Linked DNA regions of Diceros bicornis minor. The protein of the gene in region 1 purifies or fractionates together with the protein of each later gene. This does not show direct contact. Links are inferred from orthologs where the notes say so. Each region holds a gene or a part of one and is shown in the gene's direction. Other genes may lie near its edges. The genes, in order: STK11, COPS8, PIP4K2A and FKBP5.

Region 1 (7,047 bases):
CTTGGGGCCCCCCACTTGTAACTTGAGGCCCCCTCCTATAAGCTGGGGCCCCTCAACGGCAACCTGAGACCCCACCTCTAACCTGGGGTCCCACCTGTCACTCGGGGCTCTTAACAAAACCTGCGGGAGGGTGAGGATGGGAGAATGCAGAGAAAGGATTTTCCCAGGGCGACCACAGGTACTCATAACCTTCGTCTGTTCCTGCTACTACCGTTCCCATTCGTCACAGTTTGCCCCCCCAGAGGTCAGGCTGCCTCTTTCAGTCGGGAGCGTCATCGCTGTCTCCGAGTCTTCTCTCCGTGGTGGTTCCTAAGGTCACAGAACATGTCACTGCCACAGCGTCTTCCATCTGATGACATATGGTATTGTTAACCCCCACTCAGAGAAACGGAAAGTGAGAGGCCAAGACCCCCCAACTGAGGACTTCCGCCGGGCAAAGGGCTGGGGCCGAGAGAGGGTCCCTGGAGAGGCTTAGAGCAGCCCCCACGGGGGTCTCAGGCCCTGTGATGCTGGGAAGGGCTCTTAAATCTGGTTCCGTGTTGGCCTGCCCTGGGTTTGATGCTTGCTAGGAACTTTTACGTAAGCAGGACAGCTGAACAGCTCCGAGACCCCCATCACGCTGAGCAGACGGTGCTAGAATCCTCGCAAGGCTGCTGGGGCTCCCAGGCTGGGCACGCAGCTCCACCAGGGACCTGGGCAGGTGGCTTCCTTTCTGCAAGCCTCAGTCGGCTCACCTGTGAGGGGGACGGAGGGAGGACTTTAGAACATTCCATCACCCCAAAAAACAGCTCTGTACTCCCTAGCAGTCACTCTCCACCCCCTCCCCAGCCCCTGGCAACCACAAACCCACTTTCTGTCTGTGGATGTGCCTGTTCTGGACATTTCACATCAGTGGAAACACACACCGCGTGTCCCTCTGTGTCTGGTTCTCTCACTGAGCATCGTGTGATCAAGGTCCATCCACGGTGTGGCTGTGTCAGGGCCTCACTCCTCTTCATGGCTGAGTAATACTCCAGTGTGTGGATGGACACGTTGTGTGTATCCATCATCCGTTGATGGACATTTGGGTTGTCTCCACTTTTTGGCTGCTGTGAATCAAGGTGCCGTGAACATTTGTGTACAAGCTTTTGTGTGGATGTGAGTTTCCGTTTCTCTTGGGCATATACCGAGGAGTGGAATTGCTGGGCCATACGGTAACACTATGTTTAACCTTCTGAATTTTTTTCGAAAGTGGCTGCACCATCTGTATGAGAGTTCCCGTTTCTCCACATGCTTGCCAATACTTGTCATCGCCCATTTTTTTGATCGTGGCCTTCCTAGTGGATATGAAGTGGTTAATTTTAATAACATTTTTTTTTAACCTAACACATCCAATTATATCATTTCAACGTGCAATCAATGTAAATTATTGAGATATTATATGTATTTTTTCTCATGCTAAGCCTTCAAAATCCAGTGTGTAGTTTACACTCACAACATCTCAATTTTGGCAGCCATATCACAAGAGCTTAATAGGCACATGTGAACAGCGGCTGCTGTACTGGACGGCACAGCTCTCATTGCTGAGGATGCAGCAGTGACCACGAGAAACCGACCCCGGCCCCCAAGAGCTTCCAGTCTAGTGCCAGAGACAGAATAAAAACAGATAATGAAATATATAAATGAGAAAATTTCTGAAGGTGACAAGCGTTCCAGGGAATCACCAGGAGGGCTTCTCGGAGGAGGTGGCATCTGAGGCGAGATTTCACCTTCACGAATTCTTTCTGCAACAGTCACCAAACATTTCCCAAGTTCCTTCCATGTCTCCTGCACATCGGGAGAGGGGTGTGGGCTCCGCGAAGGAGAGCAGGGCCTACATGGGCCAAGATTGTCAAACACACCCCCAGCTTCCAAGAAATTTCAGTTTAAGGCAGCACTCAAAAACACAGAGGATACCGAAAGGAATTTAAGTTGGGCAGTGTTCCCTCCTCTTCTGCTTCCAGGCCAGATTTTTTAGAACGGATGTTATTTCTTCCTGAAATGTTTGGTGGAAATTCACCAACGAGATATCTGGGCCTTAATTGTCTTTGTGGAAAGGTTTTTCAGTACAGATTTAATCTCTTGAATAGACATAAGACTATGCAGATGATCTATTTCTTCTTGAGTGAGCTTCTATCTCAGTGTTTTTCAAGGTATTGGTCCGTTTCAACTACGATGTTGAATTCATGGGCATAGAGTTATTCCCAGTATCTAATCCTTTTGCTATCTGTAGGGTCTGTAGTGACATCCCTTCTTTCATTTCTCACCTGTGTCACCTTTTTTTTTTTTTTTTGAGGAAGACCAGCCCTGAGCTAACATCTGCCAATCCTCCTCTTTTGGCTGAGGAAGACTACCCCTGAGCTAACATCCGTGCCCATCTTCCTCTACCTTATATGGGACGCCACCACAGCATGGCTTGCCAAGCAGTGCCTCGGTGTGCGCCCGGGATCTGAACTGGTGAACCGCAGGCCGCCGCAGCGGAGCACGCGCACTTAACCACTTGCACCACCGGGCCGGCCCCTGTGTCATCTTTTTTCCTTGGTCAATCTGGGTAGACTTTTACCAATTTTTTTGATCTTTTCAAAGAACAATCATTGGTTTCATCGATTTTCTTTATTCTTTTTCTATTCTATTTCATGTGTTGCTGCTCTGATCTTTATGAATTCCTTCTCGAAAGGAATTTGGGGCTAATCCACACATTTTTATTAGGGCTTGCTGGTCTGCTGCTGTGGCTTGTGCCCTGTCTCCTCAGAGCCACACCAATCCCCTTCTACGGGTCATTTGTGAATCTCATGGATGTCCGGAACAACATGCATATGGGCACGCTCAATTTCGTGCAGTTTTAGGGAGTTCACAGGTCTCGGGTTCAGAACCCCCAGCCCTGAGCCCCAATGCTTCCACTTTTTGGCTATTTGTGAAACAAGAGCTTTACTCAAGACAAGCGGTTTGCTCTGACAAAAGAATAATCTAGTGCTAAAAAGCAGAAAGGCAGAAAATTCAGGTATGGGAGGTACTTTCAACTTCATGGAGCAGTATTGTGCCAATTCTTTGTGTTTTCCACCCAAAGCACTTGGCTGGCACCGCCCCCGCTCTGTTCTGAGCTTTGGCTCCTGAGTTCTTTAGGGTAGAGACCGTCCAGAGCACCTCTCTCGCCCTCCAGCCCCATTGATGCCTAGTGATGGCTTTTTGCCTCCCATTGGCCACTTTGGGCTACTTTTTGACCCTTGACCTCGCCTCCAGGGGGCTTTCGGACGAGGGGCCCTAGCAGTCACCCCCAAAGGTCCCAGAGCCGCATCCCGGCCCACGAGGGCGGTGCCCACTCCCTGGCCGTTCCGAGGAGGCCGTTAGCACTCACGACCTTCGACCCCAGCCTCAAACCCCTCCGAGGTCAACCCCGCGGCCTCGCCTCCCCACGCTCCCTTCCCGCCCCCTCCGCGTGACAGGCGCTTCGGCGGGCCAATGAGCGAGCCGTATCCACCCCTGGGGCGGGGCCGCACGCGGGCCAATCCCCGCTCGCCCTCCCCCCGGGTCCAAATGGCCCAATCGGCGGCGGCGACAGGGCAGCCCGCGGGGGCGGGGCCTGCCGGCTCAGCCAACGGGCGGGCACGTCGGCGCCGCGAGGGGCGGGCCCCGCGGCGGGCGTGCGGCGGCGCGGCGGCGCAGGGCGGGGGCGGGAGGTAAACAAGATGGCGGCGGCGTGTCGGGCGCGGAAGGGGGAGGCGGCCCGGGGCGCCCGCGAGTGAGGCGAGGGGCGGGCGGCAGCGGCGGCGGGGCGGCCGGACTGCGGCCGCCTTGCATGGGCTGGGCCCCCGCGCCGCCCCGCCTGCTTCACGCGCGCGGCGACTGCGGCGGGGGGACGCGCCGCCCGTGCCCCGGCGGCCTCGGGAACCCCCGGCCCGGGGCCTGCGGCCTGCGCCGCCTCGGCCCCCCGGAGCCCCGCGGGTCCCCCGCGCCCCGAGGACCGCGGCCGACGGCGTTCGGGGCGCAGAGCGAGCGCGGGCTGCCGTTTGGGGCGGGGGGCGCCCGCCGGGCGCGCGCGGCCTCTCGGGGGTCCCCGGCAGGTGTGGGGGCGCCCCAGGGGCAGCCGGATCCGACGGAAGTTGCTCCCCGCGGCGCGAGGGCCCCGGGCAGCCCCCCGGACCCCCGACGCGCGCCCGGGGCCGGCGAGAGCGCACCGGGCCGGACGGAGGCGCCCCCCGCGCTGTCCGGATAGGCACCTGCCGGCGTCTGGGGCGCCCGGGACGGCGGAGACCCCCCAACACCGCGCCCCGGCCCCGGCCCAGCTCGTCCGCCCAGCCTCGGGGTCCCGGGACCGGCCGGCCGCCGCGGGGCCCCGGCGCGCGCCCTGGCCCGCCGGTAATGGACGGCCCGGTGGAGACCCGGCTCTGCGGCCGCCGCGTTGGTCCGAGGGTCTGAAGTCCCTGGAGGATGACCTAGCACTTCAGCGCCCCGAGGGCCCCCGTGGACGCGCCCCAACGACCCGGAGCTGCGAGGCCCGACGGCACCCGCACTCGCCGCCCCGCACCGTCGGCGCCCGCGCCCCGGACCAGGCGCGCCTCTCGAACTCTCGTCTCGTACAATCGTTTCTTTTCGAGGAAGGGTTTTTTTTTATTTCTTTTTTTGCGTTTTTGTTGACTTTTTTTCCGGAGAAGGGAATTTTGGGGGGAACGAAAGGAAGAACCGCTCACCCGGGACTACAGTAAGGGGCGTCAGGGCTGCCGGCCGGAGTCGGAGGCCCGGGGTCCAGGATGGATGCGGCGGACCCGCAGCAGCTGGGCATATTTACGGAGGGCGAGCTGATGTCCGTGGGCATGGACACGTTCATCCACCGCATCGACTCCACCGAGGTCATCTACCAGCCCCGCCGCAAGCGGGCCAAGGTCATCGGCAAGTACCTGATGGGGGACCTGCTCGGGGAGGGGTCGTACGGCAAGGTGAAGGAGGTGCTGGACTCGGAGACGCTGTGCAGGAGGGCCGTCAAGATCCTTAAGAAGAAGAAGTTGCGGAGGATCCCCAATGGGGAGGCCAACGTGAAGAAGTAAGTTTGGGCTTCCTGGGTCGGGCGCCGCCAGCCGGGGACTTTGGTCGCCCGCCCTCCCTCCCTCCCTCCCTCCTTCCCTTCCTTCCTTCCTTTTTTCTTTCCTTTCTCCCTCCCTCTTCCCTCTCTCCCTTCCTTCCGTCCTCCCCTTCCTTAAAAACCTGAGCTGACCAGCCAGCTCCCGAGTCCTCCCTGCCAGGAAGAGCATGTTTGGAAACCCGCTTAAGTACTTTCAGAAAGTCGGGACAGGTTGTTGCTGCGGGGCGTCCGCCTGTCAGTCTGTTGGGGGGCGGATGTCCAAGCCCTCCTCCGAAGGGGGCGCGCCCCTCTCCCCCCGACCCTCCCAGCTGTCCGGAGCACTCGGGTGCCCGGTGCAAGCAGCCAGTGTTTGGCCCTGAGAGCGTGTGCTCAGAAACCGCCAGGGCCGCCGGCAGGTCTTGGGCGCAGCGTGCGGCCGGCGCTGGGGCCAGGCCAACACGCTTTGTTGATCCTGTCGGAGGGGAGCCCTGCGGTGGCCAAGTGATTGTTTGCACCGGCTTATCAGTCAGCAGGGGGCAACTTAGCCCTTTCTTGCCGGCCTGGGTGGTGACACTGGACGTGTCTGTGACTGCAGGCCCCGGGGACTCCCCCCTCCCCCAGAGGGGAACAGGCTTGTGTCCAGCAAACTTTTTAAACAAGTATTTTTGGAGCCCGTCTGCCCCAGGCACCTCGGCAGGTTTGGGGTTTGTGAGCAAGAGTTGCCCCAAGGACGGAGGTGGGGAGCTTTGCCTCCTTCCCTCTTGCCAGTTTCAGGAGGGGGCCCCTTATCGCTGCCGCCTCGGTGCACCCCGCCCCTTGGCGCACGCTCCCCTCCCAGCCTCCGGTTTCCAAGAAGTGGCTTATCTAACAGGCTGGCTGGTGGCAGGGCTGACTTATGACCTTGGACGGTCCACAAGCTTGCCAGGCCCGTCCTGGGCAGTGCTGCCCCCGGATCCGCTTTCACCTGCCTCCTTCCCGGCCCGGCCCGCTCTGCCTGTCTGCACAGCCCGCGAGCTGGCTGTTTTCCTGCTCTGGGACAGCCTGGGGGTGCTGGTGTTGGGGTCGGAGCGAGAACTGAAGCCGGGCTGGCACGGGCTCCAGAGCCGGTGCCCCTTGCTTGGTGGAGCAGTAGGCTTCTTTGGGGTCGGCCGGCACGGTGGGCAGTGTTGGGGTGAGGTCTTCTCAGTCTCTGTGACCCAGCCTGTGGACACTGGGAGGAGGCGTGGCCGGGCACCCCCGGCCCCTCCCTCCGTCAGTCCTGTGCCAGTCTCTTACCTGTGAGGTGGGGGTTGGGTGGGGGCCACAGCATCTGGGGAGAGACAGGCTGGGGGACCCCTCACCCCAGTCAGAAATCCCCACTCCACTGCTGGCTTCTCGTTAAGCCTGGAGCACGTGGGGGTGAGGCGGCTGCCTAGCAGGTTTACCCCAGCTTCGGGTGGGGGACAGTGAGCTCCTGCGTTCTGGGTGCTGACTCTGGAAACAGATCCCCTCCCGCTCTCCAGGGCCCCTCCTTGTCCTGGCTCCTGGTAGGCCTCGTGCCCCGTTCTGTCCCGGGAACAGGGTGCTGGTCTCTTCCTGCCTGGCCGAGCCCTCCAGGGTGGAGTCGGCCCGGGTCCGGGGGGTGTTCTGGTGCTGTGGTGCCCCAGGCCCCAGCCTCTCGGGAGCAGCGCCCTGCGGTAGGAGGGTCTCCCAGAGTTTGGTCCAGGGGGCCGGGTCCCAGCTCCGACTGGGCTGTGTGGCTGGAGGCACCCGAGCCCAGCTGCTGGCCGTCCTGGGGCTTCAGTGTGTAAACCCGGCCAGGGGCAGCAACTGGTGGCAGCAGAGTTGAGGGGTCCCTGGGGGGGGGTGTCAGGGTGGGCAAGTGCCCACCTTTGCTAAGGCCTTGTGTGCGTGTGATCAAGACGCTGGTTTTCAGAAACGCTCGCGCCCAAAGTCAAGTCAGAGGACGCTTCACCACCCCGAGGAGTTCCCTT
Region 2 (7,097 bases), on another chromosome or scaffold:
CCTCTGAAGCACAGAAGTTTTTAATTTTGGTAACATTCAATTTATCTATTTTTTCTTTTGTTGTTTGGACTTTTGGTGTCATATCTAAAAAACTCGTGCATAACCCCAGGTCATGAAGACTTACCCTACGTTTTCTTCTAATGATGTTTTAGTTTTAGCTCTTACATTGAGGTCTTTGATCCAGTTTGAGTTAATTATTGTCAATGGTGTGAGGTAGGGGGTCCAACTTCCTTCTTTTGCATATGGATATTTAGTTGTCCCCACACCATTTGTTCAGAAGACTATTCTTTCCCCCATGGAATGGCCTTGCCAGACTGGCCAGAAATTAACTGACTGTAAATGCAAGGGTTTAATTCAGGACTCTCAGTCTATTCTATTGATCTATATGTCTACTCTTATTATCCATTGACCTACACATCTACCCTATCTTGATTACTGTAGCTTTGTAGTTAAGTTTTGATATTGGAAAGTGTGAGTCTAACTGTTCTTCATTTTCAAGATTGTTTTGGCTCTTCTGTGTCCCTTGAATTTTTATAGGAACTTTATGATCATCTTGTCAATATCTGCAAAGAAGCCATCTATGATTTTGATAGGGACTGCATTGAATCCGAATGTGGGTAGTATTGCCGTAATAATATAAAATCTTCCAATCCATGAACAAGGGATGTATTTCCATTTATTTAGGTTTTCTTCAATTTGTTTCAACAATATTTTATAGTTTTCCGAGTATAAATTTTGCACTTCTTTTCTTAAATTTATTCCTAAGTATTTTATTCTTTTGATGCTATTGTAAATGAAGTTGTTTTCTTAATTTCAGTTTGTTCACAGTGTATAGAAATACAACTGATTTTGAATATTGATCTTCTATCCTACAATCTTGCTGAATCCATTGATTAGTTCTAATAGATTTTTTTAGTGGATTCCTCAGGAACCAGGTGAAATTTCAGAGTTCTGAATTAGCCATTCTCCAATTTCCAACTTCCTCAATGACTGTGCTTCTCCTCTGACAAGAGTTGAGAGAGGAGGGGCAACTTGCACAAGAGGGCTAAGCCAGGGGGAATGGATATGAGACCCACATCCTTCAGCCTCAGGAGCCCACACTTCCCTTCAGTGTGCTGAACCATCCCTCATCCCAAGTGCAGTGGGAAACGCAGCCTCTCATTGCCCCAGAGTCAGCATCTCCAGGGAGCAGAGCTTCCTTCTGGTGGCCTCTTCTCTACTGTCTTGCTTCTGTGAAGTCTTTTTTTTTTTTTTTTTTTTTGGTGAGGAAGATCAGTCCTGAGCTAACATCCATGCTAATCTTCCTGTTTTTGCTGAGGAAGACTGGCTCTCAGCTAACATCTATTGCCAATCCTCCTCCTTTTATTTCCCCAAAGCCTCAGTAGATAGCTGTATGTCATAGTTGCACATCCTTCTAGTTGCTGTATGTGGGATGCGGCCTCAGCATGGCTGGAGAAGCGGTACATCAGTGCGCGCCCGGGATCCGAACCTGGGCCGCCAGTAGCGGAGCGCACGCACTTAACCGCTAAGCCATGGGGCCGGCCCCTACGAAGTCTTGATCTCTCTTCTGAGTCCCACCACCTGAAATTACTGGCTTTACACCACACTGCCCTTTATCATACTCCTCACTTCTCCTATTATTGAAAGTTTAGGGGTAAAGTTAGATGCAGCACAGTACAGTAACAACTGAAAAATGAATATCAACCATCACAGCCCTGGAAATCCATCAGCCTCTCACTGCCACCTGGAGTCCTCTGAATCCAGGCCAGGGTCTTGCCTTAGGCCCCAATTGCTCCATTTCCCCACCCCCAGAGCCCTCCTTCCCTCTCCCAAGACCCCCTTCCTCCCCTCTCTAGCTGTCAGCCTCCAGTTCCCAGATCCTTGTATCTGTCTGTTCAAGAACAGTTTGGTCCTCTAAATGACACCCCAGACTTTACCTCTAAGCTGTGATGGTATTTCCAAAGCCTCACTGGGATTTTTCTGTTCAGCAAAGAACCATCTATTACATCTTCACCTTTTGCAGCCCAAAGCACTTCCCAAAGATTTAAAATCATAATTTTCCCTTTAAATGATCAAATTGCCAGGCAGTTGATGCAACAAAATCTTTCTCTGTCCAAAACAGGTTGGGAGCCATTATTACATGTTGAAAATTCAAAATCCTGCTCCTCAAACTTATGTCGAATGACCTTAGAATCATTTTGCCCTAGTCCTTTCCTTCTTCGTATGATTCATGCAACTTTGTGGCTTTATTCCTCCAAAATGTCTCTAGTTATACTTGCTATTTGCATGCTTTCCTATTTAAGGACTTTGAGGGACTTTTGGAGTGATTTTGTAATCTTTATAGTCCATCCAAAGCATTACTAAACACAATCATTTCCACATGGAAACTGTTGATTCTGCAAAAATAATCAGTGAGGCTGTCACTGTCTTGAAATTCTTAATAGTTTTATCTTTGAGCTTGTGTTTGGTAAATGACGCCCTTTGGGATCACAGAGCATTTCCACGTGAGTGAAGAGATATGTGAAATATGCGTGTTCACTGCCATTCCATATAGAGTTTAAAATACCCTATGAACATAGAATTCCTGTTGGACCCAATGGTGGGGAGTTCAGCAAGACTCAAAGTGAGTACAAGGTAAGCGTATTATGTCTACAATAGAGTAAGCTGGGCACTGACAGCCCAGAGAGGCCACATTTTCCCTTAGAACCTGAACTTGCTTCAAATGCAAACTGAAGGCAATGGTGTCCTAGGAAACACAGCCAATCAAGGAACCCTATCCTATTCTTTCTTACTGATGTTACTTCCTTGTATTATGCTGAAATATTCCTTTGACTGTGATGAAAATGATTACATAGCAGGAAAGGGACGGTTCCTTTTCCTTTCAGTTCTTCCTAACTCATCAGAATGCCTAAGGTAGAAAGTGGTGGTAGAGCACCTGCATAAAACCAAGTGCATGAAAAACAGCTGAGTTAGTTTTGTGTGGCATTTCCAAGGTTCTGATAAGAACAAAATATGCATGCACGCATGTGCTGAGATAAGAATTGTGTAATTTCTGTGATTCTACCTGAGTTAAATGCACTTATATTTGTATTTAACACTAGCATTGCACAATATAAAGATGGGTGGTAAAATTCAAGCTAATAATTTAAAATTTCCATTTTTCTTTACTTAGAATGATATTAAATAGCAAATTAAAAACTGCTATGAAAAGCTGAGAGAGACACTGCGAACAAAGGAAACAGTTTTATATTATATTACCTTTCATGACACTCCTGTTTTTTGAACAAGGGGTCCTGCATTTTCAATTTTCTCTGTGCCCACAAATTATGTAGCCAATCCTACCTCAGGGAACAAATCGAAGCCTCTTCCCTGGTGGTCTAGTAAGGGCAGCAAACCAAATATGTAAATAAACAATATGCAATGTAATGTGCGCTAGCAGTAAGCACTGTGCAGAAGACTGAGGAGGCCGGGATGGCTGAAGCAAGTCGGATAGGATCTGGGAATCAGAACTTGCAGCCTAAGCGACCGCAAGGACTCTGGATTTTAGGAATATGAGCAGAAGAGCAACAAGATCTGGTTTATGTTTCAGAAGAGATCATTTTGGCTGCTGTTGCTGTGTAGGGAGTAGCCTGCAGGGAGGCAGGCGTGGAAGTCAGCAGAGCACGGAAGTTCAGCAGTGTCAGTGGTCCAGCGAGCGCAGCTTCACCGGACGTGGGGTCTGCAGGAGAGGAGCCCCGCGCGCAAGGACGGTGTGCCCTTCACTGAGACGGGAAGGGCTGCTGAAGGGGCGGGTTTGGGGGAGAAACAAAAGCTAGGTTTTGAGCCTTTAAGTGTGCCTGTGTATCAAGCCTCAAAGTGGAGACATCTAATAGTCCGCAAATATGCACAAATCCCCTCCCACCCTGAGTTCGGGCCCGCGCTTAAAGCAGCTTCCCGCGAGGCTTGGCCAGTCCTCCAGAGCACCGAGAGTGCGGGCCGGAGCGGCGGCGTCCCCGCCCGGCCGCAGTGACGTCCATCGATGCGCCGGAACCGACGGCGCGCCTGCGCCTGGCTCGCGGCGGCGTAGGCGGCTTTGTACGTCATCGCGGGCGCGACGCCCCGAGGGACGGTGAGGTATCTGGGTCTTGAGAAGGTGCAGCGGCAGAACCGGCCGGGAAGATGCCAGTGGCAGTGATGGCGGAAAGTGCCTTTAGTTTCAAAAAGTTGCTGGATCAGTGCGAGAACCAGGAGCTCGAGGTAGCCATTCGCGTGGCGCTGGGAGAAACTGCGGGGTCGCAGGCGGCCCCGGGCGGCGCCAGTCTCCAGGGTAACGGGGCCTGTGGCCCGCAGGCCTTGGGGCGGGCGCCTGGCGGCGCGGGAGCCCGGCGTGTGGAGCCCGGGATGCTGCAGCCTGCTCCGAAGGCTGGGGATCCAGGCCCGGCCTCCGCGACCTCGCTGGGAGCTTGTTATGTGTCTTCATCTAGTGAGCCCGAAAACCTCATGCGTCTTTGCTCCTGACATCCTCCAATATGCTTCCGTAATAATTGGTCTAGACATCTTAACTTCTCGTTGTGGGGGAATGTGGCTTTTATCAAAGACATTTGTGCAGTCACACACACAGACCAAAGAAGATGTGACCACTCTAACCTTTTATTAACCCAGAAAGCCCTTCTTAGTCTCATAGTGTTATCATGTAAGCTTGCCGTATTGTCTACAGCAAGACAGGTGAAAGTTGTATCATCATGCACTTATTAACGTTAGTGTTTTCCTTAAAAAGGCACTTAAAAAGCATTTATAACGTTAGTATAAAAAGTTAATTGACTAAAGGAGACAGCAGCCGCAAGTAGCAACTCACTGATAGACACTTAGATGTTTTTTGAATGAGGAGACAAATGTTCTGATGCTCTGATGTTTTTCTGTTGATCACTCATTTACTTAGATATTCCACGTATTTGATCTAATGGGCAGGGTCATAATGCTTTAGGAATCTGTTGGGAATATTTGTTTCTTGTAGGTGATACTAAGACTGTTTAAATGAGAGTTTGAGAACTGGGTAAGGGATCCCATTTAAATATTCTTGTGAGGATAAAGATGCAGGGGCCTAGAGGGAGATAAATCACAGCTGAGGACAGATTTAAACTTGAAACTCTGGTTTTTAGTGTTTGATACTTCTACATCTATTACAGTAAGTACTATAAAATATGCTTACTTTTTAGATTGGTGTTAATAAAATGCTTTTTTAAAAATAAAAATATAGGAATAGTGAGGTTTTTCTGTTTCATTTTTGGCCTTTTAGGCTCCTGGAGGAATTGCAACACCCCCAGTGTATGGTCAGCTTCTAGCTTTATATCTGCTCCATAATGACATGTAAGTACCTCCTACCTAAAGCTAAGAGCAGCAGCTTCCTCAAGGTTATATAGAAATTATTCTTGCATTGAAGTAGCGTCGCTGAAACATAGGCACAAGGAGCTATATCTTTTATTATAATAGTCAGTATACCTGTTTCCTTATTGAGTCATGACTTAAGAAACTATGACTAGGCTAAGTTATTTTAAAATACACTTGTTTACATATACCTTCTAAAAAACATTCCAATTTGTTATGAGAAACAACAGTGTCAATAAATTCCTTTAATTCTTTTGACTTTTTCTTTTCTGTATTTTTATAAAACTCTCTTATGACCTCTGTTTACTTAACTTCACGTGTAATCAGTAGACCAAGAGAAACTGAAAGGGAAGATTGAGAAAGCTAAGAGGAGTTCGTTACCAACATGTATGAGATTTCTTAAAAGCTTTTGTTTTTTAATTATTCCTGATTGGTGTTGGTTGAAGAGAGGTCAGAAAGCATAAGTGTGCAAAAGGAGTCCCTTGTAGTTGTAGGGCCCATCAATGATTACTGCTAAATTTTGTTTTAAATTCTAAACTTTTTCATTTCATATCTTTTTAAAAAACGAAACAGATTTTTATTACACATATATCATATAAATTACCTGTTTTGTTTTTTTGTAATCCCGTCGTCATATGTTTGATGTAGTTCAAGCTTCCAGACTCTTAAAAACTGCCTTGAAGTTTTGGTGGCTCTCTACCCACTGGTAGGAGGAGGGGTCATGATAAGGATAAAAGCATTGCGTAGCAGTCGTATTGTCAAGGAATGCCAGAGCTCTGAAAGTGTGTACATTTGCTCATTACATATATGAATAAATTATTTAGGCAGGCAGTTCTGTTTAAGTCTGTGTTTTTAGTGTACTGTTGCCTTAATTTAAGATCTGGATCATTAATAAAAATTCACTAAATGGCAAAATGTTACTTTGGTAAAAATATTTCGTGTCTTTTTGTTTGGAAATCTGCTCTTACTTCCCCTAAACAAATTGATATACAACTAAATTTCACTCTGTATTATATAGAGTATTTTAAAGTATACTTCTGTGTGTTTGCATTGGGATCTAGAATTTAAGCATTTACCCTGGTGATTTTTTTTAATTGCTTATTCTTTCTTGGGGGGATGTAAATTAGGAATAATGCAAGATATCTTTGGAAAAGAATACCACCTGCTATAAAATCTGTAAGTGTTCTTTCGATATATTTTACTACTTAATATAGTAATGACGTTCATTTAAATGGCAACTTCTTAAAAGTTTTTTTTTTTTTTTTAATCCATGTGGTTCACAGAAATAGTTATTAAACTGGTATTAAAGTTTAAGAATAGATCTACAGGGGGCTGGCCCCATGGCCTGGTGGTTAAGTTTGGCACAGCACGCTCCACTTCAGTGCCCTGGGTTCAGGTCCTGGGCTCGGACCTACACCTCTTGTTGGTGGCCGTGCTGTGGCGGCAACCCACATGCAAAGTAGAGGAAGATTGGCACAGATGATAGCTCAGGGCGAATCTTTCTCAGCAAAAAAAAAAAAAAGAAATACATCTACAAATCCTTCTAATCAATTGGTTTTGCTTTGGATGGTATAGAAATCTGTGTTCAGCTCCTATGGGTCAGATTTCTTAAGATTTCTTTTACCAGGTCACTTCTTGACCTGGTAAATAACTGAGGCAGTTTAGATAAACGTTTGGTTTTTGTTTTGTTTTTTTAACTGATTTTTGCAGTTTCCTAGAGTGGTGTTTATTGC
Region 3 (7,834 bases), on another chromosome or scaffold:
CTTCCTTTCTCTTAAGGATTCTTTGTGGTCTCAGGCAACCTTCCTCTCCCCCTACATATAGGAAAATAGTCTGTTCCAATACAGACTTAGTTCAAAAATAACTATAATATACAGCAAGGAGTAACTTAAAAGGCTATTCTCTTATAGGAATTGGGCTACTATGTTAAATGCCATTATTCTGTTATTTATTTAACCAGAAAAGATTGTTGCATTTTTAAAAATTATTATTAAAGTAATATATATGCATTTTAGAAAATTTGGAAAATGCAGAAATATATTTTTAAAATTATCCATAATCCAAACTGCACTCCTTATATATCACTGTTACCAGTATGACATATTTTATTTTAGTCTTTTACACATATACATTCACATACACATTTTATAATATTAAAACCATACCTATATACAATTTTGTATCCTGTTTTTTCACTTATATTAATATCATGGTATTTTATGTCATTACATTTTCTGTGAAAGTATCATTTTTGCTGGTTGTGTTAAAGTCTGCCATATGGATCTACTGTCATTAATTGCTCTCCAATGTTGGAAGTTACTATTTCCATTATAAAAGTATACATAATAAAGATATAATGCCATTGGAGATTGACTCCTGTCCTCCACACAGCCTCCTGTCTTCTAAGGGGGCTGTTCAAGTTCTCATCCTCTGCTTGGGGAGTGGAGAGGAAGTGGGGGCAGGATGGAAGTGTTACCCTATGTGTTGGCTCCTTACATCCAGTCTTCTCCCAGTCCAATCTCCCCAAGTCAGGCCAACAAAACAGCTGCCAACTAAGTGGTAAATTCCTGGAATTGCTGCCACTGTCCTGGAAGTCCTAGCCAGCTGCAGAAGCCAGGAGATTCACCATCAATATTTCAGTTGGGTGGACAACCTCTACCAGCTGGTGCCAAACCACAGCCATCCCAGGAGGGATTTGGACAGCACAGCTAGACCCTCAGAACTCCCAGATGGCAAGCTGTACCACATTATGTCAACACCTTCCCTCTCAAAAGTAACTCACATGTCATAACTGAATTCTTGGATCCCATTTATTGCATTTTGGCTGGGTTTGACTGTATATGCACTTTAATAATGGTCTTCCAAAATCATAGCATTTTGAATGGCAAAGCTCTGGATGACACTACAGAAGATAGAATGGAATTGTCCCAAATCTTGCTCTGATCTCCTGACAGAGCAATGAAAAGCATAAAAGCTTCCAAATAGCACTAAGGAAGTTACTGAATTCCTCTTCTCAACGAAGAATTCTTCTTGGAATCATTCAATTGGGGAAGCTATTTTTTGATGAAAATGGTAATAAAATAAAAAATCAGAGCATCCACTCTATTTCAACCTCCATTTCTGGTATTGTATACTTTAGTCAACATTATACTTTTACCATGCTCTTCTAGAATAGTAAATACAGTTGGTTACAGTAAAAGAAAGTGAGAAGCAACAGGAATAACAAGCAGAAACAAGTCAGTATTGGGAGGCTTTCAAGCTTCCCATTTCCTTCTCTCTTCTTAGGGAAGTTGGCTGCTGGAGCATTTCTTGCAGCTGTGATGGCCTTGGAACCTGGATCAACAGCCCAACAGGCCAAATGCAAAGGGGTAGGAGCAGCGTTCTCCTTGACTGACAAGACCACATACCCATCCTGCGATGGAACTTCCTTGCTCTTCTTTCTCTAGCCATGCATCTGGTTAAGATCATTGTTGAATGCTGGCAGTTGGGTTGCTTCAATCCTTGACAACACGAGCAGCCTGAATAAGGTACTGAACCAAGGATATACGCATTGTTTCCTTATCACACAAACTCCAGATGAAAACAGTGATCAAATTGCTACATTGCTAAACCCACATAGTATCTAACCCTCAAATTTAAATACTACATCTAATCTAACCTAATTTCCCAGTAAAGTATATCTGAATGGAGACTTGCACAAACATTTCCTGGGTGTGGAATCTTTACGTGTAACTTTGTTGTGAGAGGTGAAAATTTCCTTTTCATTTATTCACCAAAACTTTGCCATAAGTGCTATGGAAAGGGAGTATGTTAGGTTCATTGGGAGGATACAGAGTGAGTGCCACATGGACTCTGCCTTCAAAGAGTTTTTTGTCTCCCAACAAGTCAGGAAATCATTTAAATTTCTCTTGATCTCAGTTGTCTAATGCATATAATTTGAGAAGTGGATCAGGTACTTTCTGAGGTCATTTCTGTGACTCTCAAACTCCTGTATCACACACTCCCTCTGCAGAGTACAAAGTTAATGTGAGAGGTCATTGGCAAAGTCATTTAATGACCTACTTATGAATGGCATTATATGAAATGCCATTCAAAGCAACTTAACTCACCAAAAATCCTATCCCTTAACAGTACTGTATTATATACTTGAAAGTTGCTAAGAACGTAAATCTTAAATGTTCTCATCAACACCTACACATACACACAAATGGTAATTATGTGTGATGGAGGTGTTAACTAACCTTATTGTGGTAATCATTTCACAATATTACATGTATCAAATCATCAAATTGTACACCTTAAGCTTACCGAATGTTACATGTCAATTATATCGTAACACAGCTGGAAAAAAAATTCTGTCCTTTAAAAGCTGCAAGTCTCCTTACTATCTGACAATATCACATGGATTTTCATCTCCATGCCTATGCCCCTGTCTGCCCCCAACAGAGATGACACCTCGTGCTCCCCATCATACCTTACCACCCTCCTACTTAAAACCTCACTTGACAGTGCCCACGGGTATCCACCTCCCCTTCCTGTAGGCTCATTCAACACTGTCATCACTAAATTCAGTTTTTTAGCATTTACAGCTAGCCTATTGTCTTGCATTATTAATATACAGTTAAGTACAATAGAGCTGTTATGAAACAAAAGTACTACGGAAGCACTGAAGTGAGTGGATTAATTTCAACTAGGAGGATTGTGAGAGCACCCGGAGAAGAGATAATATTTGAGCACAATTGCTTTCAAGGGCAGGGCCTGGTAAAGGGGTTTATGTGGAGTGGTGCTGAGAGGCAATAATCAATGATGATGCTAAGCTTTCAATCCTGGGTCAACAAAAGTTTGTTAAACAAATGAACTTCTAGCTAGGGTAATTGAGTGATATGAATGCCTTTTCTAACATAATAGAAAAATGAAGCAACACGTGGGATGGAGAAAGATGCTGAACTTTGTTTTAGACACCTTTTTAGGTGCCTGTGGACAATTGATGTAGAGATGTTCAACCAGGCATTTCTCCAGGGTCCAGGGAGAATTTATGAGTTATCTGCAAATACTTACCTTTTATCTTGTATGTGTATAGTGCTGTATGATTACAAAGCGCTTTTCATAGCCATTGTCCACTGTTGATTTTGATTCTAACAAACACCCTATAAAGTAGTAAGGCAGAATTATACTACCAGGCCCAGAGTAGTCCCTAAAGTGACATCTGTGTCTGATTATCCCTATTGTTAACACAAAGAACCTGATGCTCAGAGAGAGAACTGATTTGCTGAATAAGTGGGAGAACTGCGCTACAACACGTCTTCTTACCACAAATTTAGGTGTGTTTTTTTAACCACTAAGTGGTGATGGTTGATGCTGGGGGAGCAGACATCATTTTGTACAGCAGTATGAAACAAGAGGGAAAGAACTCCAAGAGGACTTTGGGGCAACCCCTACGTCTAAAGAACCATGAGAGAAAGAGGAGGAGCAAATGAAGGCGACCACATGACCTGTACTCCCCATCTCCATGAGACTCACGCTCCTCAAGGGACAAGGGTCTGTCATCCTTTGTCTCCCTGACAGAACCAAGCAGATTACCAAACACACAGTAGGTATCCACACAATAGGTATTTGAGTGGAGTAATAATGACAATAGAGAACATGCTTGCCCAGTGCCCTGAGTCAGGGTAAGTCCTAGAACAGCATGATGATTACCGAGGAAGATATAGAGTTGGCAGGTTTTTAGACATACTTGGAATGGTAGCTGACTCAGCTGGGTCAGGTAGTCCCAGTATTAAGAAGGGCTAATTCAGGGATGTAAGGAACACCGTGGATGAAGATGCAACTTCGGGCATGATCGGCCTGGCCAAACCAAGGGCTCCCGATGAGGAATGTAAAGTCTTGCCCAGGGAGGGTTTTGGTGGTGGTAGAAATGACAGCCCAGCGTATTAGGTGGGAGTCTCCCTTCTGCATGACTCCGAGAGTGTGGGAAGGCCCAAGTCCAGGGTCCTAAAGGCCCGATGGTTAAAGGCACAAAGGGATTAAGAAATTCATTCCCGCCCCACTTCGGGAGGCGGCCAACGATGCGCCCTGCTCCTTTCCCTCGGTGCGAGGGAAGCCCTGGTCTCCATGTAGTATTTCAGGTCTCACTAGCTCTCCTGACCTTTGGCACGGTGAGTGGCCGTTCCCTGAGCCTCCTTCACTCGCCTGACCACCGCCCTCCTCCGACCTCCCCACTCTCCCCATCCTTCCTTCCTGGGGAGCAGGAGGGGATGCCCTGCAGGCGTCCTCCTGCTCCCCGCGCCGCACGCGCCCCCGCGGCCTCCTCAGCGGGCCGGGAGCGGCGGCCCGGAGCTCGCCTGCGCACAGACAGGGGGCGGCCGGGCCCCGCGGAGCCCGAGCGGGAGCCGGAGTGCGAGGGCGCAGCTTAACGGCCCCGCGGCCGCGCCCCGCGCCCCGCGCCCCGCCTGGCGGCGCCGCAGCTGCTGCCCGCCCGCCCCCTGCGTCATGACGCCGGCGCCCAACGCGGAAGCCGCTCGCGGCGCGCCTGGTCCAGCCGCGGGCTGAGCGCCGAGCCGCGGCGGGCGCGGGATCCGGGCCGGGCGCGAGCCGAGCGCAGCCTCCCTCCCCAGCCGGGCCGAGCGGGCAAAGCGGGCCGAGCGGGGCCGAGCGCGCCGGCGGTCGGAGCGGGGCACGGCGCGCCGGGGCCGCCGCCGGGGGGATGCGGCTGCCTCCCCGGGCCGGCGTGTAGAGAGGGCGGGTCCCCGGCCTCGGGAGCGCGGCGGTGGAGGGGACAGAGGCGGCGGCCATGGCGACCCCCAGCAACCTGGGGTCCTCCGTCCTAGCGAGCAAGACCAAGACCAAGAAGAAGCACTTCGTAGCGCAGAAAGTGAAGCTCTTTCGGGCCAGCGATCCGCTGCTCAGCGTCCTGATGTGGGGGGTAAACCACTCGGTAAGGGCTCGGGCTGCGGCGCGCAGTCCCTTTCCTCCTCCTCCTCCTCTTCCTCCTCGCTCCCCTCCTCCTTCTGCTGCAGCTGCTGCGGGGCGGGGAGCCCCAGCGGGGCCCCGGCCCTCCGGCTGCTCTCCCTCCGGGGCTGCCCGCCCGCCGCGGCGCCTCGGTGCCCCCAGCCTCGCGGCGCGCGCCCGCCCCTCCGGGCCACCTGGGCGCCACTTGGACCCCCTTTGGACGTAGGGCCGGGTGCAGGACGAGGGGTTCCGTCTGCATTTGAACCCGGCGGCCAGTGCCGCCCCCCGGCCGTCCGCCCGCGGGTCTGTCCCCGCACCCCCGGAACTGGGAAGTTTGTGCGGGGCCCGGCTGCGCCTGGGCTGTCAGCCCCGGCGGGGGCTGCTGGGATCAGTGTCCTGGCGATCGCTCCCTTCTGTGGCGGCGGTGGGGCGGCCGGGTCCTCCGCGCAGGTGTACCTGTCCCAGGCTAGGAGCGTCCGGAGCCTCCCCGCGGGCGAACAGGGATGAGAATAGTGGAGATCCGGGAGATTGGAGCAGCGGCTTAGTGCTTAGGTCCTTTTTTTCCTTTAAAGGCGGTATCATCGGACACAAGGAATCTTTTGGGCAGAGAAAAAGCCCGTGTAAATATGGCACTGGTGTTTTAGCATCTTCCTCTGCTCTCGCCCGCATCGCCCTGCCGCTGTGCCGGCTGAGGAGCTGCTTGGCGGGGAGTCTTCCTCCCCACTCCTCCTCCCCCACCTTGGGGAGCCAGGCCGAAGTCACCGACTGCGGAAGGGCGGCCCGGGGGATGACAGCGGGAGGGAGTCTTGGCAGGCGCGGATAGAAGGTGGTCTTGGGTTGACTGCACCCGTTTGGGGAGCTTGTTTAAAAGGCTGGAGGAGAGCGCTTGGAAAGGTTAGCTTAACACCCAGCCGGAGGTGATGGAAGGTGCGCCGCTGGGGGCTATGCGGACTGCGGTTTGAGGGTCTGAAAAAGCCTCCTGCTGATCTTCCAGCGAGAAACTCCTGCAGTTTTAATCTCCTTAGAATCAGGAAACATGATCGGAGCTGTTGGCTGAGCCGTGCAAGTTTAAATGAGCCTGTGAATTTTGGCCGTGACCTTACTCACTGCAGTCACTTGGCATCTGAGGAAAAGTGTAAGCTTGGTTTCCCTACTTTTGATTTCAATGGATGTCTGTGTGTTCTTTTCAGCATAATAGAAATGACAGAAAACCGTGTTGGTGTTTTAAAGAACAGTCTCAATTTAATGAAGGTGTTTAAAATGGCTCAAAAGCATTGTATTTGTATTTTTCTTCTGCCAGCTGAGCTGGGGAAAAAGGTGAAACAGTACCAGGATTGATTGTGTTTGCATGGAGTGACTGTTTTTAAGAAGGTTGAGAAATGATTATTTCTATCAGCCTAACGCCTGATTTCTTGAAGTTCATTTTAACTTCCTGACAACTTCTTTAGCAATTAGGAATGTAAGCTTTTACAACAGCATATATTAATGCACCAAAACTCTCCTGTTTTATTATAGTAAATAAAATGAAATTTTTCCTACGTAATAAGTCTACAATTTAGAGTTATGTCTAATTCTGTAAAGCTTTTTTTTATTATTTCTCTTGTTAGTTTCCTTTTTAAAAAAATTTATGTTGTTAGTTCTGTATTTATGGGTGCTTTTATCTCCTTTGGAGTTGTGTTTTGGTCAGGAGTATGTTTGTATCTGAGTTTAATCTAGTAAAGTAGTGTCAACAATATGCTGCTGAAAAAGAGTCTGAGAATTAGTCTGAATTCCAGTTTACTTTGGAAAATCTTCTAATTGTGCATGTTTTACTGTAACCATTTGTGTTGCTACCTTATATTTATGAATTGCTACATTTGTTTAGACTTTCTTGCTAGTTGGAAATATTTTGCAACTACTTAAGGCTTATAAAATAATGTATGATTTGTAGACAGTGAATTTCATGTTATTTTCTTTTGCCTACAAGAAAAGTTAGCAATTCTAAGTATCGTCATAAAAGGAGTCAAGTTTCCATAGTGTGTAATGTAACAATGTTATTCATTCAGCAAATTATATTGGGCACATAGGGTCAGCCACTGTGCAAAAGATTGCTCAAAATGCCCCTCATATTTTTGTCCAAATATCTTTATGTTGAGGGCTCTGAGTTGACATAAGAAAGGTCTGTTTCACAGCCTTGTTTTTCAAAATGTCAATTTTCTTTCTTATTTTTGAAAAAAAGAAAGGACGTATATATAAAGATGAAATCTAAGCACTTAGTGCCATGTATTTCTGGTTGATTTCATTTTAGGTGACAAAGACTGACATTAGATAAATGTTTTTATATGACCTTGTGTGCACCAAAGTTTATAGTATGAGAATAAATATGTCAGCATTGTTAAGAAGGACCAAGCATAGTGTTGTATATGAATGGGGATATTTGACAAAGCATAGCAGAGAAGGAACAGATCATTCACATCAGTTTTTCCCTACATTTCTAATGTGATCAGAATTAATGGGAAAAGATTTGTCATGAATATATAGCAATTTCATGCTTTTAAAATTCATTTGGGTTTGTCTTAAGGACAATTAGAGATAACCATACACGGGGCGGCCCTGTGGCTTGGCGGTTAAGTGCGTGCGCTCCGCTGCTGGCAGCCCGGGTTCGGATCC
Region 4 (6,942 bases), on another chromosome or scaffold:
CTATGAAAAACTATGTGGGTTTCTATGAAACCCACATAGATACTAGATGTGGGGTTTTATCAGGTTGAGGATGGCTGCCTGTTTTTGTAAATAAAGTTTTATTGGAATACAGCTATGTCATTCATTTACGTATCGTCTGTGGCTGCTTTGTGCTATAATGACAGAGTTGAGTAGTTGTGACAGAGACCATATGGCCTGCAAGCCTAAAACATTTACCATCTGGCCCTTTAAGAAAAATTCCGCTGACATCTGTTTTAAACTGCTAACTTTGGGGATAGTTTGCTATGGAGCAATATACAACTAAAACAACTTCCCATCTTCGCCTGGGACCTCAAAGAACTGCAGCATTGAGGAAAGGGGGACCATAAATAAACAGAATCTCCCACAGACTGTAGTCCAGCCTCAAGGCATCTGGGAGGCTCAGAAAACCGAGTCCTGAAATTGGGTTAAGGTGATCCTAGCTTGCTGGTGTCCCCAGACGCCTGCTAAAACAAATGGAAGTCCTTTCCAGAGGAAGATATTATCATCGTTGCCTCAAATGATCTTTCAAATACAACATCCAAAACACAGCCAGATACCTGAGGAGATACAACAACATGAGGAAGAACCAGTAGTAAAAACTGACAACGGAAGTGGACCCACAGGGACTGCAGATTGGAATTAACAGACACAGACTGTAAAACAACTATACTTACTATGGAGAGAAAAGCCAAGCTTGAAAATTATAGCAAGGCACTAAGAGATATAAGAAGGGAAGGGACACAGAATGTCTGAAAAAGAACCAAATAGAAATTCTAGAACTAAAAAAAAAAAAAAAAAAAAGAATAACCAAATTTAAGAGCTCCATGGATGCGTTTAAGAGGAACATTTTTTTTTTCCAGTGAGGAAGACTGGCTCTGAGTTAACATCTGTTGCCAATCTTCCTCATTTTGCTTGAGGAAAATTGTCACTGAGCTAACGTTTGTGCCAATCTTCCTCTATTTTGTATGTGGGATGCCACCACAGCATGGCTTGTGAGCAGTGTGTAGGTCTGCACCTGGGACCCTAACCCACGAACCCCAGGCCACCAAAGTGTAGTGTGCAAACTTAACCACTATGCCATCCGGCCAGCCCCAAGAGGAGAATTTTTTAAAAAGCTGAAGAGAGAATTAGTGAACTGAAAAATAGTTGGACTAAACTTTTAGAATGAAGCATGGAAGGACAAAAGATAGAAAATAAAGAAGAAAGAGATGTAGTGAGGAAGTCTAATACGTGTTTCAATTGATGGCCCAGAAGGAAAGAGGAAAAGGTACAGAAACAGTATTTGAACATATAATGGTTGAGAATTTTTAAAAATTGATGAAAAACTATTCAAAAGGTGATAGGCAGCCATGAAATGACATATATCCCTCCACTATGTGTTCTGACTCTTATTAAAACAGTACATCCTTCATGTACAAATCTGCTTGTGAAAGGATTCTGAAACCAACACAGAGGTAGCTCCATAGTGGATGGAATAGGGCTTGGGTAGGCTGAGTTCAAGTACAAGCTCTGCTACTTTCTAGCTGGGCCACCGGGAGAAGGGTGCCAAACCTCAGTTTTCTCAGCTAATAAATGGAACTAGTAATACTGACCTACCCCACATTGCCACTGTGAGAACCAAATGACAAGATGAACGTGAACAAATCTAGTGAATGCCAACTGCTTTAGAATGAGATATGGTTTGAGCAGAATCACAAGCATTCCCAGGGGCAACTAACAGCAACAGGGAGGACTGGCTACCTAATTTGCAGGTCCCAACACACAGTGGAAATTCAGAGCCCCTCACTGAAAAATTTTTAAGAATTTCAAGATGGTGACAGCAGAGCATTAAACCAAGCACAGGTCACATGCCCATGAAGCCAGCTTTGGTAACAGGCCCTGCCAAGAACTGCTCTGTGCATTAGGAAAGGGCTGCTCATCCCACACCCAGGTGTCTGCAGCCAGAGCCCACGTTATCTTTGAGTTCTGAAGGGCAGCAATGTTTAGGGAAAATGCAAGCACACGTGTTTCCAAATGCCAAGGAGGGCAAGTGAGTGACCGGAGTGGTTTTCTGAGATAGTGGGTGGGGCCAGCCAGGCTGCCATCGGAACTGTGGAACTGACTGTTCCCCACAGACTCTGGCCTAGAAAAAAAAGCCTGCAGCTGTATCTACAGGGCCTGTTGTTGTTTGCCGCGGTGTGTTACAACACAGCCTGGCAGCCTCCCGGGCCTTTCTGTCTTCCTCCTGGGAGAGCCTGGTCTCAGAGCATGTGACATGGCCACATGGCCCTGCAGATTTGCCCACACTGCTCCTCACTGTTCCCTCAGTTACTAGGCTTTTCCAGGTCTGCATGCTTTTTGCTCATGCTTATCCCTCCCTGCCCAGGAGCCCCTTTCCTCCCTCTTCCACATCCCTCTGTCTGGCAAACACCATCTTTTAAGAGTCCATCTTGTAAGACTTAGCTCTAGTGTCACCGCTTCAATAAAGCCTTCCCTGCCTCTCTCAGGAAGAGCCGATTCCTCCCTCTGTGGAGCCCTCCACTATGCCCTCTGCAGACATCTGTCACAGTCCTTGTAACATGAGGAGCACTGACATGTAATGTGGATGTCACTGTCTCTCAGGCGTCAAGGGCTGGGATAATTTCTGCTCACCTCTGTATTCTCTTCACATAGCACAATGCTTAATACTTGCTGTTATTAAGCATAGTAGATGCTTAATCAATTGGTGTTGGTATGCAGAGGCGTTTTAGTCATCTTTCTGAATTAACGCATACATAAGTGGTTTGAGCGACTCTCCCTGGCAGCTGGTAAAAAGGAAAGCTTCTAGGCCCTGAGACAGGGCTCTTGCCCTTGAGGAGGTTTCAGTGTTGGCTCTAGTTGTCTCTTCTGCAGACCCTACCTCTTGAAGGCAGGACTGTTGATTTGTAGAAGAGACTCTTCACCGTAATATAGTGCAGAGAGTAGATTTGGAGCTAGGAAATGCGGCTTGTCATCTGGCTATGAGACATTAGGTTTCCATAGGTAACTATTAAGTCCCATAGCTAACGGACTACAGGCTTCTGTTTCCTCAAAAACGAGGGGATTGAGCTAGGTATTCCCTAAGGCCCAGGTGCAGCTAGTTCAGTCCCCTTATCTGAATCTCTATGGGAGCGATTCAAAGGTGGCCATCTGGTTGGAGAGGCCTGTGCCCCTCTTGAAGCTGAGTTTGCTCAGCAGGCGACCTTTTAGGGGACGGGGGCAGAGAACACACATTTTTCAAGGTCCTCTGCCGTCCCAATCGCCTGGAATCTCATGTTTGAAAGGTAAAAAGCCACGGGAAAGCATATTCTTCCCAGGCTCCCAGTGTCCAGAGAGAAGTGCTCTGTGCTAAATCGGTTCTGAGATGGGATTTTCCCCAGTTTCGACTGGGCATCTTTGACTTCCTGGGGTTGTTTCCTGGGGTTAACCTGGCCTGTTTACCTGACACAAACAGCCAAGCCTGCCCCTCTCCATCCTCCTGGCAGGCGGCTGGACCGATAGGAGGTCAGAGCTTTCAGAGAGACGATTCAGATGTGAAGTCAACTAGCTTGTTTAGGTGTTCGTTTCTCTAGAGGTAAGGGCCGGTGTGAGGGGGTGCCGGTCGCTTTCCTCCACCCCTCCACTCCGGCCTCCACAAAGGGCGACGGCCAGACACGTGGGCTGGTGCGGAGAGGCGGAGGTTACACTAAGGCGGAGGTGCAAATGGACGGGGGCGGGACCTCATTTGCATGGACGGCGCGCGGCCACCAATCCGGACAGGCAGAGCGGCAGCCCGCGCGCCTTTTGGGGGCGGACTGACAGCCCCGGGGCCCTATGGAAGGCGGGTCCTGCGGCCGGCGGGGGCGGGCCGGCGCCGGGCGCTGCCCGGGGGATTCGGGCCGGCTCTTGGGCGCTGCCAGTCTCGGGCGGCGGCGTCCGGCGCGCGGGCGGCCTGCTGGGCGGGCTGAGGGGCGAGCGGCGTGCGAGTGAGGCGGAGAGAGACGGAGACGACGGGCGAGCGCGGCGGCAGGTACCGGCGCCATGGCCGCAGGGATGGGGCGGGCGACCGCGGCGCCCCGGGAGCCGAATTCCCTCCGTCGCGGTCCGGCCGCCTCCCCGCTCCCTCACGCGGCTCCCCGGCCCGGGAGCGGCGCGCGCGGCCGGCGGAGCCTCGAGGCCGGCGCGCCGGAGGCCCCCAGCCCCAACGCGGGGCAGGCGCGGGGCCGGGGCTCCTCCGGGAGCCGCTCCCGCCCCGCCGCGTTCCCCTCGGGGAGGCGAGGCCGGGCCCGCCCGCCCGTCCTCACCCGGCTTTTGTTTCCCGCCCGGGGTGACAGGTCCCGGCCCGACTCGCCCGAGGCGGGAGCCGGCGGCGGGACCCGCGGAGAGCTGGGCGGCGCGTGAGCAGCAGCCGGCGCGGGCGGGAGAGCAACTTCGCCTTCCGGGGCCCGGGCGGCGGGCGCAGCGAGCGGGGCGCGATGGAGCCGCGCTCACCTGGCGGGGCCTGTGCAGGGTGAGGATCTCGAAGGGTCCCGCGGCCGGCGCCTCGGCTTTCGCTTTGCGCTCCCCGGGCGGCGGGGGTGGATGCGCGCGGCCCGCCTTCACCTGCCGCCCTGGGACGAGTGAGTGGGAACAGCATCCCGCTCTCGGCCGCTCTTGGAGGGTGCCGGGGCAGCGCTCTTCTGACAGGTGATACTCTAGAGCCAGGTGAAAGCCAGTGAAAAGTTGTTTCAGGGCTCCTTGTCCATTTCCCTCCTGGGGCGTTCTGACGCCTCATTGAGTCTAAAAAGGTGTTCTGGCGACTGTAGAGGCGTCAAACCCAGTATCGATGAAAAACCATTTGGGGGGTCAGCGTGTGGGTTGCCTTCTTTCGATGCACGAGCCAGGGGGAATCTTGTAGTCTCGTTTAAAAACTCGGGTTCTGCAGTGGTGGCGAAAGCCTGGGAAGGTACAAGTTGTAAATGGAGAATGCAGAAGTCTAGATATCCTCAGTGTGGTTCAGGACAGAGTGTACAGCGTTTGGCCGCCATTCAGTAAATTCTGCATGAAGCAGTTTGAGCTCGTGGTTTTGGATTTACTTTTCAGGAGTATGTTTTCCAGTGGAATAAGGCTTAGCATTGAATGGGAGCTTTCTTTGCCTCTGGGAGGGTAGACAGGAGTGTTTATTTTCATTGTCTTCTCATTTTGTTAGATTGTGGACGAGGGAAAAGTGAAGGCATATTTTGGTTAAGTATTTTTGTAGTCTGTGGGAGTTCTGCCGAGCTCCCCCACCAAGAGTTCTTACTTTAGAGAATTATAGTGGCTTTTTCTCTTGGTGTTCCAATCAAAATTCAAGGATAGCCTTGAAGAACTTCTTATTCTTGGGGGAAATTTTTATTTGTCATACTTTCACTTATTTTCTGTCTCCCAACTGACCTCCGCTTAACAATCTACAATTATGGCCTTGACCACTTTAGGCCCTGACCAGTTTATCAATATGTTTTTTAAAAATATTTTTTAAATGAGGGTTAATAAGAGTCATCATTTGTGAGAAACACTTGATTTAGCTTACTCGTTTTTTTTCCTATTATGTGTCTCGTTGGATATCTGTATTGGGTATGATTTATACTTGAGATGTTAAGTTTAACTTCTTAAGAACAAAGTTGTAATTTTGATCTAAATGCTACTTTATTAATATTTCATTGAATGGTAATTTTACTTATTTACCTAGCTAATTAGTAACACTATTTAAAGGTGAACTCTTTAACCAATAGGCTAGTTGTGACTATTTGAGATTTAAAAAAAATAGAGATGGTCTTTATAAAATGTTTTATTTCTCTAAAACAACAGGCCTGTATGTTATGAGTTCTTTGTCTTTCTAACTTTTAACAAAACAAGTATGTTTCTGAATCTTTTTTTCAGTTATGGGAATTTTGGGTTAATTTATTTTTTAAAACATAATTTTAACCAGTTCAACATGAAAAACTTAAAATATTGGATTCGGCAGCTAGTTAAATCTTCAATTTTCAGTTTATTCTTGGATTGGAAAAGAATGCATATTATAGGCTAGTTTCCTAAAATGTTTCTTAGTTTAGAACAAATTAGTCTAGAGAAGAAAGAACATCCTCTTTCTATAGCTGTAGAAGAGGTTATTGCTATTAAAAAGCTGTATTGGCTTTTTGATGCTTAGTGAGGGTAGATTGGTTGAACAGTGACTCGTCCTCATGTAGAATGGGTTTATTCTATATAAATAGTTGTAAGCAATCTTATAAGAGTGGGGCTCTCATTGTTTTGGATGATTTATATAATTGCACTTTAAAGTGTATAGGAATATATTAGTTTAGCTACTGTGTGTAATTAGACGTTTTATAATCTTTATCCTATGATAATGCTTAAATATACTACATATCATAAATTAAAGTTATATTTCATAGTTTTATTTGCACAAAAGCATGTTTTAGGAGCTTTAACTATAAAAGTGCCTTTTAATTAAAAGCCCGTTTTCAAATTCAATTTTTAGATATTTTAATTACTAATTTTTTGTCCACTTTAATTTGTGGTAGACCATATCATAAAATTATCAACCACATTTCAGTTTCAAAATTAAGCATAAGTTGAATTCTTCTACACAATAAACAATGGGAGCGTTTTTAAGTCAGTTACTCTCAGGCGTGGCTCCTTTTGAGTTTGAGGATGGGCAAATATTTTTGAATGAATAAAGCCACAAAAAACAAGGACCTATGTTAAAACAGCCAAATTTGAGAATAAATCAAATGACACTGTTAGACATTAATAATACTTTATAACAGTAATATGCATGTTATACCTGGCATTAAGAATATCCTCTATAAGCCTTTACTATAATTTTTCACAATTCCTAAAGAAGAATCTATGTTGTACATATTTTGGCACACTTAATTTTGTAATTATTTAATGCTGAACAATTAAATATGTACATTTCTAATGCTG

What was found.
Region 2: the proteins of STK11 (region 1) and COPS8 purify together in Homo sapiens (affinity purification with mass spectrometry; 3 studies listed by BioGRID and IntAct, with this or other methods). This does not show direct contact. The link is inferred for Diceros bicornis minor from reciprocal best matches to the Homo sapiens genes STK11 and COPS8.
Region 3: the proteins of STK11 (region 1) and PIP4K2A purify together in Homo sapiens (affinity purification with mass spectrometry; 3 studies listed by BioGRID and IntAct, counting the BioPlex papers as one, with this or other methods). This does not show direct contact. The link is inferred for Diceros bicornis minor from reciprocal best matches to the Homo sapiens genes STK11 and PIP4K2A.
Region 4: the proteins of STK11 (region 1) and FKBP5 purify together in Homo sapiens (affinity purification with mass spectrometry; 8 studies listed by BioGRID and IntAct, counting the BioPlex papers as one, with this or other methods). This does not show direct contact. The link is inferred for Diceros bicornis minor from reciprocal best matches to the Homo sapiens genes STK11 and FKBP5.

What each region holds. Positions count from the first base shown.
Region 1 is NW_026691553.1:693,813-700,859, forward strand, and holds the start of STK11 (serine/threonine-protein kinase STK11), read left to right. Parts: upstream 1-4,045; 5' UTR 4,046-4,766; coding exon 4,767-5,056; intron 5,057-7,047. UniProt on the Homo sapiens protein: Tumor suppressor serine/threonine-protein kinase that controls the activity of AMP-activated protein kinase (AMPK) family members, thereby playing a role in various processes such as cell metabolism, cell polarity, apoptosis and DNA damage response.
Region 2 is NC_080776.1:24,644,429-24,651,525, forward strand, and holds the start of COPS8 (COP9 signalosome complex subunit 8), read left to right. Parts: upstream 1-4,091; 5' UTR 4,092-4,158; coding exon 4,159-4,236; intron 4,237-5,275; coding exon 5,276-5,346; intron 5,347-6,491; coding exon 6,492-6,540; intron 6,541-7,097. UniProt on the Homo sapiens protein: Component of the COP9 signalosome complex (CSN), a complex involved in various cellular and developmental processes.
Region 3 is NC_080775.1:22,294,886-22,302,719, reverse strand, and holds the start of PIP4K2A (phosphatidylinositol 5-phosphate 4-kinase type-2 alpha), read left to right. Parts: upstream 1-4,813; 5' UTR 4,814-5,027; coding exon 5,028-5,171; intron 5,172-7,834. UniProt on the Homo sapiens protein: Catalyzes the phosphorylation of phosphatidylinositol 5-phosphate (PtdIns5P) on the fourth hydroxyl of the myo-inositol ring, to form phosphatidylinositol 4,5-bisphosphate (PtdIns(4,5)P2). Has both ATP- and GTP-dependent kinase activities.
Region 4 is NC_080753.1:29,091,726-29,098,667, forward strand, and holds the start of FKBP5 (peptidyl-prolyl cis-trans isomerase FKBP5), read left to right. Parts: upstream 1-3,927; 5' UTR 3,928-4,027; intron 4,028-4,358; exon of another isoform or gene 4,359-4,507; intron 4,508-6,942. UniProt on the Homo sapiens protein: Immunophilin protein with PPIase and co-chaperone activities. Component of unligated steroid receptors heterocomplexes through interaction with heat-shock protein 90 (HSP90).